Alligator mississippiensis: one gene and its partner. The main gene of each other region encodes a partner of the protein of the gene in region 2 in a complex. Links are inferred from orthologs where the notes say so. Each region holds a gene or a part of one and is shown on either strand. Other genes may lie near its edges.

Region 1 (10,122 bases), on a different chromosome or scaffold from region 2:
ATTGAAGTTACTGAGACCAAAATCTAGGTAGATTTGAATAAGGCTACGCAATCAGTGGATTCAAAGGGGACACAAGATTGGCATTAAATCAGTGTTGGGGATTATAAAGGATGGGATGATAGGTCAGAGATAGCAGTCAGTCCAGTGGGTTTAGCTTAAGATAGAAAAATGTTCCTCGTCTCCTTGCAGTTGCTGAAACTCTGATTATTTGTACTGGGCTTTGTCCTTGGACCATATCTTTTAGTATGTCTGTTGGGCTGGTTAGGTGTTGTAGGGTTTTGGTTTACACTTGTACAATACTGAAAGACCTGCTTTATAATGGTAAACTTTATAACAGCGGTTGAATGCACCGGTCTAGGCAGAACTCACCCCAATCAGGCCCTGTCCCCACTGTGGCTCCTAGCCCCCGTGGCTGAGCCTACGTGCCGACACTGACCCGAATGCAAAGGGAAGTTCCAAAGTCTTTTATTGTAGCCCTTGCGTGGCTGAGCTGCCCCTCAGAGGCGCGTGCTATGCATCATCTCGGAGACGCAGCAAGCCCTGGAGAGTGTTCATTTAGCAAGGTCCTTCACATACTTCCAGCCTTTCTGGGTGTATTCACGAGCCCTGGTGGGAGCTACAGACAGAGCCGACATGGCAGTGTGAACTCCTGCAAGAAAAAAGAGACATGGAGGGGAGTCCTGAGAAAAGCATTAACAAAGCATGCTGTACCACCAATAATGTGATATCGTGGGTCACACGCCCTTCCCCGTTTAAACATAATACCAGAGATCTTGGCTTATATCAAGGGAATCTTCAGTCAAGTCTAGGCCTGAATAATTCCTGATTCTGGTGCAGTTGTTACGGTCTCATCAGTAGTCAGTGGGTCCTCCCCACCACCACTACCTAGCCCACTAGCCAGGGGAGTGGTGTAACCTTTGTCCTTGGAAGCTTGTAAGTGTAGGTTTGGCAAATGTTTGGGGCAATTCAGCCCCTGCATTGAGCAGGGGGGCTGGATGAGATGTCCTCTTGTGGTCCCTTTCACTCCTTTCTGTCTAGGATATTAAAGGGGTCTGAAGGAAGGGAGACTTCATGGTTACAGCACAGGCCTGGATACTCTGTATTTTATTCCTGGGTCTGACACAGACTTGCTGTGCAACTCAGGCCTGCAAACGGTAAGCAACTTGCCCACAGTCTCTCCTTCTGGAAAATGAGAAGCAGGTTGAGTTCATTTTCTAGATGTTTTCCACATATGTTAGCAATGATCAGATCAAAAAGGCTGGAGAAGGGCACTGTATTATTTGGAGAAGTCCCAATAATAACGGGAACCATCTTACATTTTCAGACCATCACAGCAGGTTAGATGCCGAGTCCCACTGATTGTACTAGCACTTGAAGGATTTTATAGAACTCCTCAATTTTTAATTGATGACCTCCTAAAGAGCAGCTCAGCACTATCATGCTTTGTTGCCAATTCTACGAGTGCTTCTGTACTTGGGTTACTAGCTGCAAAAAGGCCACCTGCCTTCAACATGGCATTTTTATCAGTAGATTTTAAAGCACTTTTGAATAAAAGGTGGCCAATATTATCCCCACTTTACAGGCAAGGAAACTGAGGAACTGAGTTGTAAAGAGATCCACCCAAGGCCACCTTGAAGGTCAGTGGCAGAGCCAGGTCTCCCAAATCCTAATCCAGTGCTCCATGCACTAGCTCTCGCCAAGTCCTCACAATAGGATTGTTGGATAAGTTACATCAGTGACAGCAGCCCCCTTCTGCAGCAAAAAAGCAGAAGCCTTACCTTTGTTCCAGGATTCAGAGACAGAAAAGTCAAATTTTGGAGTAGATGGAAGCTGAAAGAGAAAACAAGAGGCAAAACCTCAATGTCTGGCCCGCTAGCTACATACAAAGCCGCTAAGCAACATGCTAAGAGAGGAAAGAGCAGAACAGGCACCACCAGGCTTCCCAGGTCATGCTGAACAAGGCCCTCAGGCCCCGATTGTTAAAGGTATTTGGGCACCTAACTCCCTCTTCAATTCCATGGGGCACAGAAAAGAAACCTGGGCTCTTACCTTCTCTCTTACTGGCCCATTTGTAAGACTGGGGCAGTAGGCAGCATTTTAAAAGTGCACCAAAATGATTTAGATCTGAATCCACTTGGCTGCTTTTAAAAATATCACTGTTAAATTTTACCAGGACTTGGTTTATTATGGTTATATCTCGATTTATGGCACTAGGGCTTTCCTAGTCCAGGAAACACTGTCCCTGCACAGCAGATTTTCCAATCTAGGGAGTCAGAGCCAGGCCAAGGGAAAACTACCGCAAGCAATTTATAGACCATGTTATTAACAGGAAGCAGCAGGGCAGGAGTGGGTCTTTGAGGGTGGATCCATTCGGTAGTTTTTAGAGCAATGGTTCCCAACCTGTCTCATACTGCGGAGCGGGATGGAGCCAGAGCTAGCAGTCTCCCTCTTGGGGCTGCCCTGGCACCCAGCTGCGACTGCTGCTGGGGTGGACAGATTGGTGTCCGAGAGGGGGGCTCGTGCCACGACCTGGCAGCCAACCTTTCACGGCCGCGGCCCAGTGGCTGGGAACCTCTGATTTAGAGGCTTTCCAACAAGGGGTCAGGAGCATTACTTATCATAAAAACACCTCCCAGATCAGTGTTTCTCAACCTTTTAAGTAGCAAGTACCCCCTAACTTCTGAAAAATTTAATAAGTACCTCAACACTCAATTTTCCAGGGGATTTTATATTTTCAGACTAATGTGTGCTATATGTTGGAAGAAGGGCTGTGTCTATAAGGCTGTGATATGATAGATGTCTGATCTGGTGTGTGCAGGGTTGCACACCTTTTACACCAGGGGTGCACCACTCAAGCATGTGCCTGGGCTAGAGGCGATGTTGGCCGAAGTTTGAAGGGCTGAATCCAGTGCTATGCAAAGCGTGGCATGCCAAATTATTACTGGGGAATTTAAAGCACCGTGCAAATGTGCAGGGCACCAAATTTTTGGCCATAGTTTTGAGAGGTGGAAGGGGCAAGAGAAGAAGAGAGGGTGAGAGTGTTGGGGTACCCACATACCCCTGCCTGTGTCTCGTGTACCCCCAAGGGGGTTAGAAACTGTCTCACACGGCATGTTCACGCTCCTCTCCTGTCCTCCGCAAACTGTTTCTTGCGCACCCCACCTCCAATAAGACCCGTGGAGGGAGAGAAGAAACGAGCGCACAATCCCTTTTCCTTCCAAGGTGAAATCCCGACTCCGCTGAAGTCGGCGGCAAAACGATGCCGCGGGAGAACCCGAATTCTGCTTCCTTCCCCCTCCAGCGAGGGGCTCCCTGCGGCGCCCCCCCAGCCGCCTGCGCCGTCCTCACCTCCCAGCCGACGTAGTTCGTCCATTCCTTGATGGCTGGAGGCAGCGCCGCCTGCGCCTTGCGGAGGGCTTCGGCGCCTTGCTGGCCGCTTCCCAGCAGGCCCTGGTCGTACGCCACGTACACCGCGCCGCCGGCCAGGCTGCCCTTGACCATGAACCTGGGAGGGAAGCCGTCAGAGACGGCATCGGGGTGGGTCTCGCGTGGCTCCAGGTGCTGTTGAAGTAGCCCCCGCTCTCCAGGGGACACGGGCCGCTCCCTCCCCCCCAGCCCAGGGCACCGTGTCCCTGGTCACATGTGCCACCCCCCAGGGCACACCTGCACCCCCCCAGGGCACACGTGTTCCCCAATCACACCTGCACCCCCCCCATACACATGGGCACACCCCCCCAAGCACACGTGTTCCCCAATCACACCTGCACCCACCAGACATGCGTGTTCCTTAGTCACGTGCCCGCCGACACGTGCGTTCCCTAGCCATGGGCGCCCCCTTGGACCCCCCGAGGACGCGTGTGCCCGGCCCCGTGCACCCCCAGCCGGGGGAGGTCGGCGAGCCGCACTCACTTGACGACAGGGAAGATCCGCGACGCCATGACCGCAGCCCAAGGGCAGCGCGCCGCCGCCCGCCCGCCTGCACCGACTCCTCCACGCCCGGCCCGGCCGGCTCGCCGCACAGCCCCCCGGGACTTGTAGTCGCCGGCTGCAGTCACGTGGCCAAGCCGCCATTGTTGCCGAGGCGCGGCCCCGCCCCAGCCGCAGCGCGCACTTCCGCCTCAATAGCTGGCATGGCAGCGGCCTGGCTTCCGGGTTGGGGTGGGGTCACGTGATCCCCGTCTGGGGGAGAGCTGTCCCAGCAGCCTCTGCGAGGTGGGGCTGGGCAGGACCCAGGAGGAAACAGCATGGGTGGGGGGGCATGCAGATTGTACAGAATATATCACCCAAAATTAGATATACATACACTGTATCATCACTCTGGCTTGTAATGATTAGTGTAATTAAATGTCTCCTAGTGGATATCTGCATTGTTTCTTAGATGAGTCATACAAATCAAGCAGGCTTGCCACTTGGAAATATAAATACTGCGAAGGGATCGTCCCCTCCAGGCGTGCGTGGGACTCGCGCAGGCGCATCCATCCCAACTGACCGACTCTTTCCACGGCCGCGAGAGCTGGTTCAGTTCAGTTCCTTAAACTGGCGTGAAACAAAAACATCTGAATAAAACCAATCGGAGAACAACGATTAGACTATTAAAATAAGTCATCTGTCGATGTTGGGCTGAAGCAAAAGGAGAGAAACTCTGCATTCAAGAAGATTTGGTGCCAGTCCTTTATTTCCCCCCTGACTGAGCGGTGATAAAAATGAAGGGGAATTGTAGCCGTATCCTAATTCTGCGTCTAAGCTTGCAAGGAAGGTCCGGGTCACGGACGGGCTGCAGCCTCGTCTCCCTAGAGACCGAGGTAACGAGGTTTTGGTCGTGGGGAGCTTGCTTGCGCCGACCGTCGCAAGACTTTGCTCCTCGCTCTGTGATTTCCCTTCATCTTTTGACGAGGCGCCTCATCCAAACCATGCAGCCAAGGCAGCGAGAGAGAGGCTGTTGTAACCCTGACACGGGCTTTGACTGGGTTGACCCAAGTGCCACCGAAATCCGGCCCTAACGAGCCTGCAGAAGGCCAAACACCGCGGGGGGGGGGACAGGATGAAGTTCCCATGTCTCTGCAATAGCAGGGCATTGTTCCTCCTAGAGGATGCTCGGCCCTGGGTATCATCAGTCAGTCAGGAGCATCATGGCCCTGCTCCTTTTTATCTCTGTTTTCAGGGTTGTGCAGCTCCCATCTCCCGGCTCAGTGGAACTGCAGCTGCTTTGCAACCTGGTCCCCTGGCAGAGCTGTCTCCTCCAGGTAAATCAGCAACCCGAAGGGTCTCCCTGCTGCCTGCACGAGGGAGCGGTGGGCCCAGACTTTGTCCTCTGTCCTCAGGGGCAGAGGTGAACAGCGCTGGGACGGGACTCAGCCTTGAGGCTTCGCCCTTGCATTGTCGTCTGGCGCCGCAGGGGAAATGTCTGCAAGATGGAAGGCGCTGTGGGCAGCTGGGATTGCCGCCGGGCTCCTGGCTTTGTTCTGGAGAGACATCTTTAACCCAGGTAGGCCCAGAAAGGAAAGCACGAGAGCCAGAAGCTGTCGGGGGAGAAAAAAAGGCTGAGTTTTGAAATGGTGGTTTGCGGCGTTCTCATCTGGAGAGAGTCGTCTGCTTCTCCGGGACTGCTTCTCCTTGTAGCCGGCGGCAGATGGGAGCTGGGAGACCTGTGAAAACAAGTGGAAACACGGCGGAGGAGGAGGCAGGGGGGTGGCAGCACTGTAGGCAGGCAGAGGTGGTGCGGGTCAGTGGTAGGAGGGTTTGGGAGCTCTGGCTGCTGGTTGCACATGTCTGCAAGGGATGGCCTCATTAGGAACAGGAGGCGTAATGATTCAGCAAATTGGTCACAACAAAAGGAGGCGTCTCGACTGCAGCGAGATAGGGGAGTCAAATCTGCCCGGCAGCTATAGTGGGATAGGGTTTCACGTGACCCAGGGACTGATCCAAAATTTCGGTCAGAGCTAGACTTTGTCTTTCCAGGTGCCACTCGGAAGGAGAAGGGTCTCCCCGCCCTTGCCGGACCAGCGTTCCCATGTTATTTCCCACCCAGACTGGGTTTTCCAGCCCAATCCTGAATCTTGGTTGGCTCTGGAGAAGCACAGAGACTTGTGGCCACTGGTCTGAACCCCTCAGTCATTGCTACTCCTCTTTCCACCCTGCAGAAACCATCTCCGGCGCCCGCGTGCTCCTGACGGGTGCCAGCGCTGGGATTGGAGAGCAGATGGCTTATCATTATTCCAGATTTGGTGCCGAAATAGTGCTGACAGCCAGGAGGGAAGCTGTGCTGCAGAAGGTGAGACCTCCTTCACATGGTAGAGGGCAGCAGGGCTGATGACGTGGACCTAAAAACAATGAGGATGTAGGGCAGGTCAGACATTTTCCATCAAACTGGTATGGGTGAGCTGCCCAGCCACATTCACACCTCTCAGGCAGCACCACCATCTGACTCCTAGGATGCACCACTTCCCTCATCAGATTTGGATGCATGGTGGGAGAGATGATCTAGGAGGGAACCTGACCTGTGCAGGGTCATTGGAGCAGGTTGGACATTCATAGCAGGCTTCTCTGAAGAACAAGGTGGAGCAACATTGAGAGCAAATGCCCCTGAGGTTGTGTGAATGGTGTAACGTTCATCTCGACAGCTCCGAGCTCAATTCTGCTCTAGGGCAGGGGGTCACAAGCCCAAGGCCTAGCATCACATTTCAACCCCTGACTCATTCCTCCATGTCAAACAGTGCTGTGACGGCGTCAAAGGACCTGGCTCCTTCAGGCTTGTCTACGCTTGAAAAGTATTCCAGCTGAAGGAAAAGGATGGATTTCCAGTTTACCAGCTATTCCAGAATAGCTCTCCATGTTGGCATGATTATTCCAGAATAAGAGAGGTTTTTTTCTTTTAAGATTAATCCACTTGGAAAGCAGATTGCGAGTGTCCGCACAGAGAACTTTTCCAGTTAATTTCCCCCTTGTAAACAAGACTTGAGTGCATCAGCAGAATTTGGTCCCCTGTAGGTTGTGTGATTATAAATTTGGATGGAAAAAGTGTGTCTCTGTTCATCCTTGACCCAGGCAAGAAAAGAGGGAGGTGAGTAGGAAATAAGCTCCCTGCCCCTGCCCTGATAATGTACTTCAATTGGTTTATCTGGGTCATTTCTCCAGGTGACGGAGAAATGTCTGCAGCTGGGAGCCAAGAAGGTCTTCTACATCCCGGCTGATATGATCTCCCCTGCGGAGCCCGAGCGGGTGATGCAGTTCGCTGTGCAAAAGATGGGTAGGTATTGGTCTGTTAGAAGAAAAGCAACTGATGCTGGGGAGGAGGAACCAGCAGGGTGGGGTCTCAGTGAGTCAGATCCCAGAGATCCAACCCAGCTGAGAGCAGAGCACTGTCCCCATGGCGGCTGTGTGGGCAAGGAGGTGACACGGGGTCAAAGGTGCTCGGAGAAGCTGACGGCAGTGATCCCCACCAAACTGCCTTTACTCTGCGGTTCCCTTTAAGCATCTGCTTCAATTCACCATGAGCTTGGGTCCGGGGAGGGGGGGTGCATTGCTGCACCTCCTTTTCCACGGGCTGTGCATTGCTGCATCTTGCACTCATGAAGCCGGTCTGCATGGGTGAGAGCCAGATGTGCAGCGTCAGCTTTCCTGGGTGCCCTGCCTGACCCGCAGGTTATCGTGGTTCGTTCTGCACTCCCCTCCATCTCTCTGGGTATCTATTCAGCCCTCCTCACCGCAGGAGCACGGTGCCTCTGTTTCCCCATCTTGGTCAGGGATGTGTGCGTAGAAGAGGAGAGTTTGGACTGGCAGCATGAAGCAGGACCCAGACTGTGTATTGTGAGCTCAGCTGGTCAGAGCCAACCGTTCTTGCTGTGCATGTGTAAGGGGGGAAAAGCAGTGGCAGGGATTGGCAACCTACGGCTTGTGGGCCAGATCCAGGCCATTTTATCTGGCCTGTGAAGCCCCAAGTGTGCCTCTGTGCTGCAATTCGCAGCCCCTGGCTGCCTGACTTGTGGGGGGTGCTTTACTCAACTCTCACTGCCCCCTTGCCTGCAGGGGGCCTGGATTACCTGGTGCTGAACCACATTGGTGCGACCCCTTTACAGATGTGGGATGGGGACGTGGAGCACACCCGCTGGCTTCTGCAGGTGGGTTTTCTTAGGGTAGGAGTCCTTTGGGGGTGGAGGAGAGGGGCAGAGAGGCTTGGCCCCTGCGGGGATCAAGCTGGGGGCAGCTCCCAGGAGCCGCTGGCTTCTGGCAGGGCTGCAGTTGTGCCCTCTGGCTCCAGAAAGGGTGAAACAAAAAAGCCTGTGATGCTTTGCTCCTGACTGGAGGGAAAGGGGGAGGAGGGGTCTGAAAGCCTGCAGGTAGAGAGCTGAACTGATTAGAGCATTGCCCTTGTCTGTCCGTCTCATTGCCAAGGTATGTGCTGCTGTAGGACCTGACTGATGTTGTGTTACAGGGCCTTGGCTCTTGCACCATGCCTGTCCATGCTGGGCCTTTCTGTGGAGTCCTCCTGAGGTCAGGTTTTAGGACCCCAGAGGGGCAGACTTATGGGGTTGCTGAGACATGGTAATGAGAAGGCTTGAATCTTTTATTAATGTGGAAGTGGAAGCTGGGGGCTGGGGATAGAGAGGGGTAGCAAGGGGCGACACCCCAACTTCAGGGGGAAACTTAGGCCAAGAGTTACCTGTAAATTCACATTACAGGTAAGCTCAGGAGGGGTGTAGATTTGGAACGGTGACTTTCTCATTCTTCTCATGCCCCCTCTCCTGCCTCCACAGGTGAATTTCCTTAGTTACGTGGCCCTGGCGATGGCTGCGCTTCCGGTCCTGATGGAGAGCAAAGGCTCCGTGGTTGTGGTGACCTCCATCTCAGGTGAGTTTGTGACCTCCACAAAGCACGATCCAGGAGGGCTGCACTTCCCGGCATGCTGTGCTTCCTCACGGTCCGCAACCAGTGTTGCCACAGTCATTCGATTCAGAGTCTGACTGCCCCTTGCTAGAGCTTGTCTGGGCTGCTGACCCCCACAGCACTTCACATGGGCTGTCAAGGACACGGCTAAAAGACAGCCATCTCTGGAGTGAGAGGCCAAATATTAGGTTATTCAGTGGCTATGCGGGGTCAGGAAGGAGTACTTTCCCCTGGTGCATTTTTTGGAAGGGAACCGTCTCACACTGCCTCTGCTGGAGATGGGAAGCCTGTCCAGCTGGAGCAGTGGGTCGATGTAGCTCAGATCATCCTCCCTTCCCTGGCTCCTCTCCCAGCAGGGCCTCATACTCAGACCCAATTTTCTCTGGGTTTCCCCTTCTCTCGTTTTTTCTTCCTAGGGAAAATCGCAACCCCCTTCGCCACTTCCTACTCTGCCACCAAATTTGCCCTGGATGGGTTCTTTAGTTCCTTGCGCCATGAGCTCGCCATGCAGAAGAAAGACATGAGCATCACTCTCTGCGTCCTGGGGCTGATCGACACAGAGATGGCACTGGAGAAGACAAGGTGTGTACATGTAGCTGCAACAGGATTTAGGTCCATGCAGGGCACTTCTGTCCATGCGTGTGCATGCATGAACATGTCTAAAGCCACGTGGGTGATATGCAAGACAACACGTTGCATTCACATCTGGGCTTATGCACGTGCCTCCATACAATGCGTGCTCCAGGCTGTTTGCATCCATGCATGCAGGAGTGCATGTGCATGGATATCTGTAGGCCTGCGTGTGATGTGTACAGCCCTGGGCTAGTCTAGACCTTTCGGCTGCTGTGACGCACCAGCTTGCACTGAGAAGGGCAGTGCCAGCCATGGGAGGGTGAATGACTGAGCGACTGTTCCCTTTCAGGGGCCTCGTGTACATGGATGCCCTCCCTGCCACCGAAGCTGCGCTCGCCATCCTCCGTGGTGGTGCCACGCGGGCGCGGGAAGCATTCTACCCCTGGTGGCTGGAGCCCCTGTGCTACGTGCGGGGCTGGTTCCCCAGCCACTGGGACTGGGTGGTACAGAGCTTCTATAACTACACCAGTGCCTGAGCAGTGCAGAGCCAACACTCCCGGCCCCTGCCCACCCAGGCGCTGGGCCTTCTGCTTCCATCAGGCCCAAGCTCAGTCACAGGCTTCGGCAGGACCAGGATCAGGACCTTGAAATGGGAACGTGTCGGGG
Region 2 (11,063 bases):
TACTGTGCAGTAAATGCCCTGCACATGTAGACTTTGATGCTTTACTGTGCAGTAGATTAATCTACTGTGTGGTAAAGTGTCTCATGTAGACACACCCATTGAGCAAGGTTCCCTCTAAGCTGTGCGTGTGTGCGGCTGTGCACAAGAAAAAATCATGCCGCGCAGTAACTTTTTAATGCCGTGCACCTGCCCCAACCTGGCCACAGGCTGGTGCAGGAGGGGGGAGGGACAGGCACACTGAGATACCCGCGCACTCCCAGTCAGGACTGCAGCCGCAGGCAGGTAAGTTTCACTGGTCTCGGGGGTGGGGACAGATTGAGACCTCCACAGTGCAGGAGGGAGTGCAGTAGGGGCAGAGCACTGCCCTGCTCTCTCCTGCACTGTGGGGATTGTCCCACGACCCAGCCTGGCCCAGCTGGGGGCTCGTTCACCGTGAATGGGGCCCTGGCTGGGCTGGGGCAATTGGAGCTCGGCGGTTCATCTAGCGGTGTGGGCGGGCGGCTGTGGATCCCGCCACTGCATGCACCGTGGGGGAGAGGGAACACATTCCCATCCCTGCCCCACCCCAGCTCCCTCGTGCCATACCCCTAGACGAGCCACTGGGCTCTGATTGCCCCATGACCCTGCCTGTCTGGGCCGGGTCGTGGGGCAATCGGACCCCGGCAGCCCCTCCAGATGCATGGCACGGGCAGCCAAGTGAGGGCATGTGGCCTGGCCCCTGATCTTTGCGTGGGGCAAGGGTGGGCAGGATCTGTGCTCTACAGGCTCCCTGCCTCTGCACCTCATTGCAGCCTTTGAAAGTGATGCTATGTGCCTCGCTGCTAGGCCCGCCCAGTGGCGGTATGCACTTGGTGCTGTGCCACGTTCAAAGGCTGCAGTAGGGAGCAGGCAGAGAGCACAGACCGAAGAAGTGTGCTCAAGGACTGAATTGGGGTGCTCATGGATCGCTACACCTTAGAGGGAACATTGCCAGGGAGGGCACAAACAAACCAGATAAATGAGGGGAAGAGGAAATAAAAAGAGCAAAATATCATAGAGAGAAGGTTTATGTACAGAATAGCTTGCTTCTTGCCTAGCCTGAAGAAATTCTTGGAGGGGTGAATGATACATGATGGACTAATATTGCCAGCATTCATCATAACATAGAATGGAATTGGAGGTTGTTCCTGAAACTGAACTCCATCAGTCTCTGTCTGCAATCTCTATCTCTGCTCTCAAACCCACACTTTCTACCCATTAGGAACCAACTCACAGCACTTGTTTTATTCTGGAGCAACCTATCTACCTTGGGGGGTTGTATCAGCCTCAATATCCAAGGACAAATATGCCTCTAGAGCAGTGGCACTCAACCTTTAGGAGCCGTGGGCCGGAAGCGTAGCGCAGTGCTGGTCTGCATGCTGCATTGGACCCTACACACCAGGATCAGGCCCCGTGTTGCCTCCCTTGCATTGGGGCCCTGCAATCCCAGACTGAGTTCCAGTGCCACCTACCTTGGCTCCATGCTGCCAGATCAGGGCCCCACACTGCTTCCCTCAGTCCCACACCACCTCCCTGGCCTTACAATAACTTCAGCTGGCCCCTGTGTGCCTGGATTGAGCCCCACATGCCAATCCAGCATGCTATCTGGCTGGGGGCTCCCCATAAGTCTGGAAATTTGGCAGCAGGAAAACAGCAATTGGTGCCACCACTCCCCCCAGAGTCAAATTTTCAGGGCCATGGGGACCCCAGCAGGCCAGATGGCATGGTTCTGCAGGCCAGCTCTAGCCCAAATGCTAGGGGTTGAGTACTCCTGCCCTAGCGTACGACATAACAAGGTGCATGTCACAGCGGCAGGTGGTGAGAAAGAGATTACATGTGTACCTAGGAGGACTGGGCCAGCTGATGAGGATGATTACTTGGCGCAGGGAAAGTTAAAAGCTCCCAGGGAAGGGAGCTGGGAGAGAGGGAAGGCTGCAATGTTGGTGGCATCAGCATTGAGCCAGGGTCCTCTCTCAGGGTCTGGGAAAAGAACACAGGGTTTGGTTAACTTTATTGTTTTGTACTTGGTGTTTGATGATTTATGGTTTATGTTACGTCCTGTGGGGCAAGTTTGCCCAGGGAAAATAAAGACAGTATTATGCAAATTGACAACCTGCTACATAGGGGCTCTCAACCATTTTATACTTGTGGCACCCCTGGAAAAACTCAAAGCACCCCTTAGAAAATGTCACCTCTTAGTTTTCACCCTTAACTATAGGAAAAATACAATAGAGCAGTTTTTGCTGTTGCAAAGAACTCAGAAAGCCCACAGCAAGTCATAAAGTTTTTCACACTGCAGACTGCTATATGAAATCTCTTGGTTTATCTTGTGAATGGTGATTGCACACCTAACAGCGTAAACACCGTGTGCTACCCTTGAAAGGATCTCAAGGCACCCCAGGGTTGAGACGGGGTTCAGAATCACTGCTCTAGAGCCAGGTCCTGTGGACGGTGATGGTGTGGACTGAAAAGAGATTGTAAACGATTGTTTTCTGCCTATTAGTCTAAAGGGCAGGGGCCCGCAACCCACTTGATCACTAGATAGCAGGCAGGAAACTGAACCTGCCAGAGGGAGAATCCCAGTATGTTATAACAGCTGCATGTAAATGGTTGAACCAATGAAATGAACTATGAAAGCGAAAAGAAAAGACATGGTACAAGACAATGCAGTGTGTGAACCCAGGGGGTTTGTACCACGGGTAGGATCTGGTGTTGCTCCAGAAGTGGCATGTGACCAGAGAAGTAAAAATGGCATCATCCCGGATACAAAAGTTGCAGGTTTCTTACCAAATGCCTTAAACGCACAAATGTCAGTAGTCTCTACTTACCAGAATTGCCGCTTCCTAACATCAGGAGAGCAGTAGCAACCAAAAAACATTGCATTGATCCGATCGAAAACAAGAGGCCCCCATTACACAGACAAATCGTGGCTGCCAGCGGACAAAAATCATGGAAAAGAGTCTTCTCTACGATGCGTCCCCTGGATGAAACACTTCACAGGAATAAAAATGTGGCAATCACCACTAGAGATGACCAAGGAGGGTCTTGTGAGGAATACCTCAACTGCCAGGGACATGGGGGTCCCCTATGCTGGGGAGAAACCCCCCCCCACTGCTGAGGGGGTGCAGCCAGGGACATGGGGGTCCCCTATGGTGGGGAGAGACCCCCCCCCACTGCTGAGGGGGTGCAGCCAGGGACATGGGGGTCCCCTATGCTGGGGAGAGACCCCCCCCACTGCTGAGGGGATGCAGCCAGGGACATGGGGGTCCCCTATGCTGGGGGGAGACCCCCCACTGCTGAGGGGGTGCAGACAGGGACATGGGGGTCCTCTATGCTGGGGAGAGACCCCCCCCACTGCTGAGGGGATGCAGCCAGGGACATGGGGGTCCCCTATGCTGGGGGGAGACCCCCCCACTGCTGAGGGGGTGCAGCCAGGGACATGGGGTCCCCTATGGTGGGGAGAGACCCCCCCCCACTGCTGAGGGGGTGCAGCCAGGGACATGGGGGTCCCCTATGGTGGGGAGAGACCCCCCCCCACTGCTGAGGGGGTGCAGCCAGGGACATGGGGGTCCCCTATGCTGGGGAGAGACCCCCCCCACTGCTGAGGGGATGCAGCCAGGGACATGGGGGTCCCCTATGCTGGGGGGAGACCCCCCACTGCTGAGGGGGTGCAGACAGGGACATGGGGGTCCTCTATGCTGGGGAGAGACCCCCCCCACTGCTGAGGGGATGCAGCCAGGGACATGGGGGTCCCCTATGGTGGGGAGGGACCCCCCACTGCTGAGGGGATGCAGCCAGGGACATGGGGGTCCCCTATGGTGGGGAGGGACCCCCCACTGCTGAGGGGATGCAGCCAGGGACATGGGGGTCCCCTATGGTGGGGAGAGACCCCCCCCACTGCTGAGGGGGTGCAGCCAGGGACATGGGGGTCCCCTATGCTGGGGAGAGACCCCCCCCACTGCTGAGGGGATGCAGCCAGGGACATGGGGGTCCCCTATGCTGGGGGGAGACCCCCCACTGCTGAGGGGGTGCAGACAGGGACATGGGGGTCCTCTATGCTGGGGAGAGACCCCCCCCACTGCTGAGGGGATGCAGCCAGGGACATGGGGGTCCCCTATGCTGGGGGGAGACCCCCCCACTGCTGAGGGGGTGCAGCCAGGGACATGGGGGTCCCCTATGGTGGGGAGAGACCCCCCCCCCACTGCTGAGGGGGTGCAGCCAGGGACATGGGGGTCCCCTATGCTGGGGGGAGACCCCCCCCCACTGCTGAGGGGATGCAGCCAGGGACATGGGGGTCCCCTATGCTGGGGGGAGACCCCCCACTGCTGAGGGGGTGCAGACAGGGACATGGGGGTCCTCTATGCTGGGGAGAGACCCCCCCCACTGCTGAGGGGATGCAGCCAGGGACATGGGGGTCCCCTATGGTGGGGAGGGACCCCCCACTGCTGAGGGGATGCAGCCAGGGACATGGGGGTCCCCTATGGTGGGGAGAGACCCCCCCCCACTGCTGAGGGGGTGCAGCCAGGGACATGGGGGTCCCCTATGCTGGGGAGAGACCCCCCCCACTGCTGAGGGGATGCAGCCAGGGACATGGGGGTCCCCTATGCTGGGGGGAGACCCCCCACTGCTGAGGGGGTGCAGACAGGGACATGGGGGTCCTCTATGCTGGGGAGAGACCCCCCCCCACTGCTGAGGGGATGCAGCCAGGGACATGGGGGTCCCCTATGCTGGGGAGAGACCCCCCCCACTGCTGAGGGGATGCAGCCAGGGACATGGGGGTCCCCTATGCTGGGGGGAGACCCCCCACTGCTGAGGGGGTGCAGACAGGGACATGGGGGTCCTCTATGCTGGGGAGAGACCCCCCCCACTGCTGAGGGGATGCAGCCAGGGACATGGGGGTCCCCTATGCTGGGGGGAAACCCCCCCACTGCTGAGGGGGTGCAGCCAGGGACATGGGGGTCCCCTATGGTGGGGAGAGACCCCCCCACTGCTGAGGGGGTGCAGCCAGGGACATGGGGGTCCCCTATGGTGGGGAGAGACCCCCCCCACTGCTGAGGGGGTGCAGCCAGGGACATGGGGGTCCCCTATGCTGGGGAGAGACCCCCCCCACTGCTGAGGGGATGCAGCCAGGGACATGGGGGTCCCCTATGCTGGGGGGAGACCCCCCACTGCTGAGGGGGTGCAGACAGGGACATGGGGGTCCTCTATGCTGGGGAGAGACCCCCCCCACTGCTGAGGGGATGCAGCCAGGGACATGGGGGTCCCCTATGCTGGGGGGAAACCCCCCCACTGCTGAGGGGGTGCAGCCAGGGACATGGGGGTCCCCTATGGTGGGGAGAGACCCCCCCCACTGCTGAGGGGGTGCAGCCAGGGACATGGGGGTCCCCTATGCTGGGGGGAGACCCCCCACTGCTGAGGGGGTGCAGACAGGGACATGGGGGTCCTCTATGCTGGGGAGAGACCCCCCCCACTGCTGAGGGGATGCAGCCAGGGACATGGGGGTCCCCTATGGTGGGGAGGGACCCCCCACTGCTGAGGGGATGCAGCCAGGGACATGGGGGTCCCCTATGCTGGGGAGAGACCCCCCCCACTGCTGAGGGGATGCAGCCAGGGACATGGGGGTCCCCTATACTGGGGAGAGACCCCCCCACACTGCTGAGGGGGTGCAGACAGGGACATGGGGGTCCCCTATGCTGGGGAGAGACCCCCCCCACTGCTGAAGGGGTGCAACCAGGGACATGGGGGTCCCCTATGGTGGGGAGGGACCCCCCACTGCTGAAGGGGTGCAACCAGGGACATGGGGGTCCCCTATGGTGGGGAGAGACCCCCCACTGCTGAGGGGGTGCAGACAGGGACATGGCGGTCCCCTATGCTGGGGAAGGACCCCCCCACTGCTGAGGGGATGCAGCCACAGTCAAGAGGGTTGCTATCCCACAATGCACCGCGGCCCCCTGAGGAGGGCGGGCCCTCCGGCCTTCCCATCATGCCTCGCGCCTAATCGGGGCCTGTGGAGAACTGCGCTACCCAGCGTGCCCCGCGGCGCCGGGAAGAACTTTTCGGCCCCCCCCACCAAAAAAAAAAAAAGTTTTTCTTTTCGTTGGCGGTTTCCATGGGCACCGCGCGGGAGCCAATGGGCAGCGGGCTTGCAGGCGCGGGGGGCGGGGCGCGGGGCGCGGCGGACCAATGGCGCGCGGCGTTGCTGCGGGGCGGGGCCAGCCGAGCCGGGCCGGGCCGAGTCTCCTTGGGCCTGTGCGGGCCGGGGAGCCATGGGCGGCGGGGGCAGCACCGGGCGGCGCGTCAGCTTCGAGGTGGACGAGAATGATCACGTCACGGTGGTGAAGGGCGTGCGGGTGAGCTCACGTGTGCGTGCTCACACAGACGTTGCACGCACGTGTTTCTCTAATGTCCTCTCTAGGGCGTGTGTGTATCTATGTATCTGTCTATCGAGTTACCCCCTCCCCCCCCCCACCAGTCCGCCCTGGACACGGCAGGAGAGAGCAACCACAACCATCCTGCTCATGGTGTGTCCACGCAAACGCACACACGGGCACATGCATGTGTGTGTGTGTGTGTGTGTATACACACCCCCTTCAGATCCATGTGTTTGAAGGGTGCGCAGCGTGCACGCGCATAGGCATGTAGACACACGTGTGCATATACAGACACGTGCACGTGGCGGGTTCGTGGTTCAGTCCGCGACACCTTCCCGTTTTCCACCTCTGGTTGCCGTGGTGAGGTTCAAAGCGTAGTGGTTGTTGCAGCAGCTCTTCCTCCATTTGGGACGGTGCTGGGGGATGGTATGATGTGGATGTCCTTGAAGCGCTTTCTCTGCCCTCTTGCGTGCATGCCTTGACTGAGCTGGGTTGAGCCCGGCTCTGCTTGGGGTGGGCATCAGCAGCACAGGGAGGGGGGCTATAGTGGATTTTGGGGTGGCTCTAGCCCCCACGTCCCTCCCAGCGCTGCTGCCTCCTGCCCCCAGCGCAGCCTAGCCTCCCCGCACTGGGAAGAGCCCCCATCCACAGCCCGCAGTGGCAGCCTGCCCTCCCCACGCGCACAGATGTGGGGGGCGTATGACCTCCATGTTGCCTGGCATGTGTGTAGCAGTGGGAGCCCCCCTCACGGCTCCGTCTCATGCTCCGGTGCAGTGCCTACCCCAGCCGCGGCAGCAGACCCGCTCCTCCCTCACTGCAGGCGCCTCAGTCTGCCGCCGCAACAGACTTACCAGCCAGATGCTGCTTTTCACACTGCCGGGCTGTGCTCCTGGCTGCCTGCGTGCTTGCACTGCGGCTGCGCGCACGCACGCGGCGTTCGTCGGCAACGTTATCGGCCGTATCAGCCACAAAAGCCGATTGCCGATAATGTCAGTTTTCCTTTTATCAGTGCCGATCTGATGTGGTACTGGTGTATCAGTGGACCTCTAATGTATAAAGTAGGTGGAATAGTTTTTAAACTGCACATTATGTGTGTAGACACACATATAATATGATGTGTGTGTATTCAGACGTGCACACAGACATGTATACATAATGTGAAGTTTAAGGGAGGTTTCCTTAAACCCATGTGCACCCTGTATGAGGTGCTTAACTACATGCATGCAGGGTCATAGATTCATAGAAGTAGGGTCGGAAGGGACCTTGCATATCTTCTAGTCCGACCCCCTGCCCTGAGCAGGAGAGAAAACTGGGTTCAAATGACCCCAGTTAGGTAATCATCAAGCCTTCTCTTAAAGACCCTCAAGGTAGGAGCCAGCACCACTTCCCTTGGAAGTTGGTTCCAGATCCTAGCCGCCCTGACAGTGAAGTAGTGCCTCCTGTTGTCTAGTCTAAACCTACTCTCTAACAACTTATGGCTGTTACTCCTTGTTACTCCGGGAGGCAATCGGGGGAACAAGGTCTCTCCCATTTCCCACTGTTCCCCCCTAATAAGTTTATAGACAGACAGCACCATGAAAGCTGGAACTATTTACTAAAAGGTTGGAAGGCCTGAGACAAATACCATGCTGGTAAGTACAGAACAAACAAGTAACATGTTGAACATATATATGTAACATGTATACATTTGTTCAATGTTTTAGCAGTGTCACCCAAAAAGAATTTGGACAAATAAAGCCTCTTTAGATCTACCTTCCTAATGTATTGTTGCTTTATTAGGTTGAAGCTGTGTCAAGTCAGTTGTTATTTTTTTTCCATTTGAGAATGAGGCCAACAGATAAAGTAGGGAATCTTATTTGTTTTATTTTGCTTTTCTTAAAAAGAGAGTGAGAGTGAGGTACAGCAAGATGCTGAAATAAAAACATGATGATTAATACGGGGATAATATGGATTGTATTTTTGGTGGGCTCATTTATGCCTGAAGCCTGGCATACTTTCCTCTCCAACTTTGGTCAAATATTTCTGAAGCTACCAACATTTGTGAGAATTCTGTGCAATGCTGAGGTTAGAGCATGTGTTGACTACTATTGTCACTTGTATTGCCATAATCAGTCAGGGCCAAGGCTGTCTTGGCTATACCCAGTGCTCCTGCAAAGTGTTCTACTTGATTATGATCCAAATGACTGAGACAAGGATGGGAAGAAAGCATATGAGCAACATGTAAAAGGCATAGTACTTGTTGTTTATATTTCCTTTGTCCCTAGATTTTTTTAAAATTCTCCTGAACAATTCACTCCAGCTTTTTGTCCATGATATACACTAAACTGCAAATTAACCTAATTCACTCTAACCAGAAGGAACTGGTTTTGCCTGGGGAGAAAAGGTAGGGAAGTAAAACCTGTTAAAACTTGACCAAAGAGATAGAATTAGGTGATATTGCTTTTTATTCTGTGATTTTTATGCTGGCTCACTTCTTTTTTTGCAGCTTGCTTTATGTAACTGAGTTTTTTGTTTTCAGATCTCTGACTCTGTCATCGATCGTATGAAGGAGACATCTTCACCCGGTGCAAAACCATCCTCTCACCAGCGATCAGCATCTGGTGATCATGGCTTGCATGGAGCTGCTGCAGGTATGTGTGTACTTCCTGGGGACAGAAGAGCGGGTAGGGGAAAGAGAGAGAGAAAAATAGGGTGCATTTTATAGATTACTATATAGTAGGTTTGGAACGTTTCGGAATCTTTTATTGGACCAGATAGTATACTTGGGAGAGAGGTTAGGCAAGCCTTGAGGGACAAAGTGTGCTGGCCATTTGTGTGTTACTGTTTCATGGTGATGAATCTCTTCTTAGAAAGTGAACACATTCTAAGAATGTTTTATGTTTTAACAGGTTTTATGGTATTATAACTTTTAATTTATTTATTTTTTTCTCTTCCAAGGACCTTGACAATAAAGTGTTAATTTCAGGTGATTGTTATAGACTTGGGTTTTTAGTTCACAACTAGTATTTTAAGTATTTTCTTAAAAACATACAAAATAAATGAGGTTAAAGGTTAGACACTATGGCAGGTATGGGCCTTGAGGTAAGATTTGAAGCTGTAGAATGTAGCAACTATATTATATTGCACTGAATGCATTACAAATATTAAATTTCACAAATGCTCCTGTTATGAAGTAGTCTGTTAAATTTAACAGAAAGAGAAATTGTGACACGATGAGGTGAAGTGCTTGATTTTGCACACTGGATCAGCTGCCAGGGTGTAGTCAGTGTCCTTTGAAGTCCATAGGAGACATTTCCATTGACCCCCGTAGACTATAGAGTAGGACCTTAGTCCTCTTCTTCAGTCCAAAAAATCTAATTTTGTGAAAAGGATGTCATTTTTGTTGTATAATGTCGTTATGAAAAGAGCACGCCACAGAAATGCATTGACTAGGTTTTCTTTGAAGTTATCCCCCTACCTCTTCTAGGCCTTTGTAGTGATATGTTTCACCATAGACTCTCCATCTGCCTGAAGAAGGGTGTTTGTACCCAAAAAATTGCAAGGAACAATTTTTCCAGCTATTTAGTTGGTCTAATAAAAGATATCACATTTACTCAAAGAACTTTGTCTACCATAGCATTAAAGTGCTTTTGTAAACCCGGAAGTTCTTGTTGGCGTTGCCCATCATTATCATTATATGCAGTTAAAGAACAAACTAAATTTGGTGTGTTGAATAAAGAGAGCCTTGTACTTAGGAAACTGTGAAATATGAAGGGGTGGGTGATTGGAGCATAGAACTTGAAAGGAATCGCAGAGGCCTAATCTTGAGGTGCATGTGAGTTGGTTCTATATTTGGCTCCTCCTTGTGTGGGGGAAGCAATATACTTCTGAATAGTTTGCAAGCTTGGGCAAACTTGTATTAGCTTTCTTGTACATTTTCAGTTTTAAAAACAAAAGCCATCCATTTAGACGAGGTGGTCATATTTCTTCAGAAATGTACAGCAGGGGTTGGAGCTCTGTTTTGTTGCTAAATGAACTGTATTTAAGAGGATATAATTATATTTAAAGTAGGGGTGCACTGATAGAGATTTTCTTGGCTGATACTGATAGCCAATGATTAAGCAAACATATTGGCTGATGCTGATCTGATAACTGATATTTAGTAATAACTCGGGGCATTTTAAAGTATTGGCATAAGCTTTTTTTTTTTTTTTGCGTGCTCCAGCAGCCTGCTGCATTGCATGCATCAGCGTTCTGGCACTTTAAAATTATGTGTGTGTGGTGGGGGTGGCACTTGAACTTAATCTCATTGAATGAGCTGAAGTTCAGTTGTCACTACCACCATTTTTAAGTATGGGATGCTTTTAAGCAGGGCAGAGGCAGGCTGCCTGCTGTGGGCTTGGGACTCTCTGCCTTGCTGCCTTTGTACTGGGAACTCCACATTGCCCGTGTGCCGCTGCTTGCCTGGCAGCCGGGGGCTGCTGCTGGGCTGGCAGGGTGCACGTGGCCAGTGCAGAGCTCCTGAGGGAAAGGCAGCAGAGTGGAGAGCCCTGACCCTACAGTGGACAGCCTGCTTCCACCCTGCGCAGAAATCTCAGGCGGCACATGCCCCTCTCCCCCATGCCTCCACCTGGGGGTGCACATAGCAGGGGGAAGCTGCCCCCTGGAAGAGCTGCCTGTGGCCCGGTTCTGCTC

What was found.
Region 1: CHCHD3 (region 2) and MICOS13 share a complex: the UniProt entries of both Homo sapiens proteins name them as parts of the mitochondrial contact site and cristae organizing system (MICOS) complex. The link is inferred for Alligator mississippiensis from reciprocal best matches to the Homo sapiens genes CHCHD3 and MICOS13.

What each region holds. Positions count from the first base shown.
Region 1 is NC_081839.1:4,003,816-4,013,937, reverse strand, and holds MICOS13 (MICOS complex subunit MIC13), read right to left. Parts: upstream 4,012-10,122; 5' UTR 3,939-4,011; coding exon 3,910-3,938; intron 3,506-3,909; coding exon 3,349-3,505; intron 1,831-3,348; coding exon 1,779-1,830; intron 650-1,778; coding exon 552-649; 3' UTR 450-551; downstream 1-449. Other genes in the region: HSD11B1L (hydroxysteroid 11-beta-dehydrogenase 1-like protein), read left to right, coding at 5,401-5,485, 6,141-6,271, 7,135-7,246, 8,026-8,117, 8,754-8,847, 9,300-9,465, 9,806-9,992. UniProt on the Homo sapiens protein: Component of the MICOS complex, a large protein complex of the mitochondrial inner membrane that plays crucial roles in the maintenance of crista junctions, inner membrane architecture, and formation of contact sites to the outer membrane.
Region 2 is NC_081827.1:7,415,419-7,426,481, forward strand, and holds the start of CHCHD3 (MICOS complex subunit MIC19), read left to right. Parts: upstream 1-6,239; 5' UTR 6,240-6,284; coding exon 6,285-6,380; intron 6,381-8,907; coding exon 8,908-9,019; intron 9,020-11,063. UniProt on the Homo sapiens protein: Component of the MICOS complex, a large protein complex of the mitochondrial inner membrane that plays crucial roles in the maintenance of crista junctions, inner membrane architecture, and formation of contact sites to the outer membrane.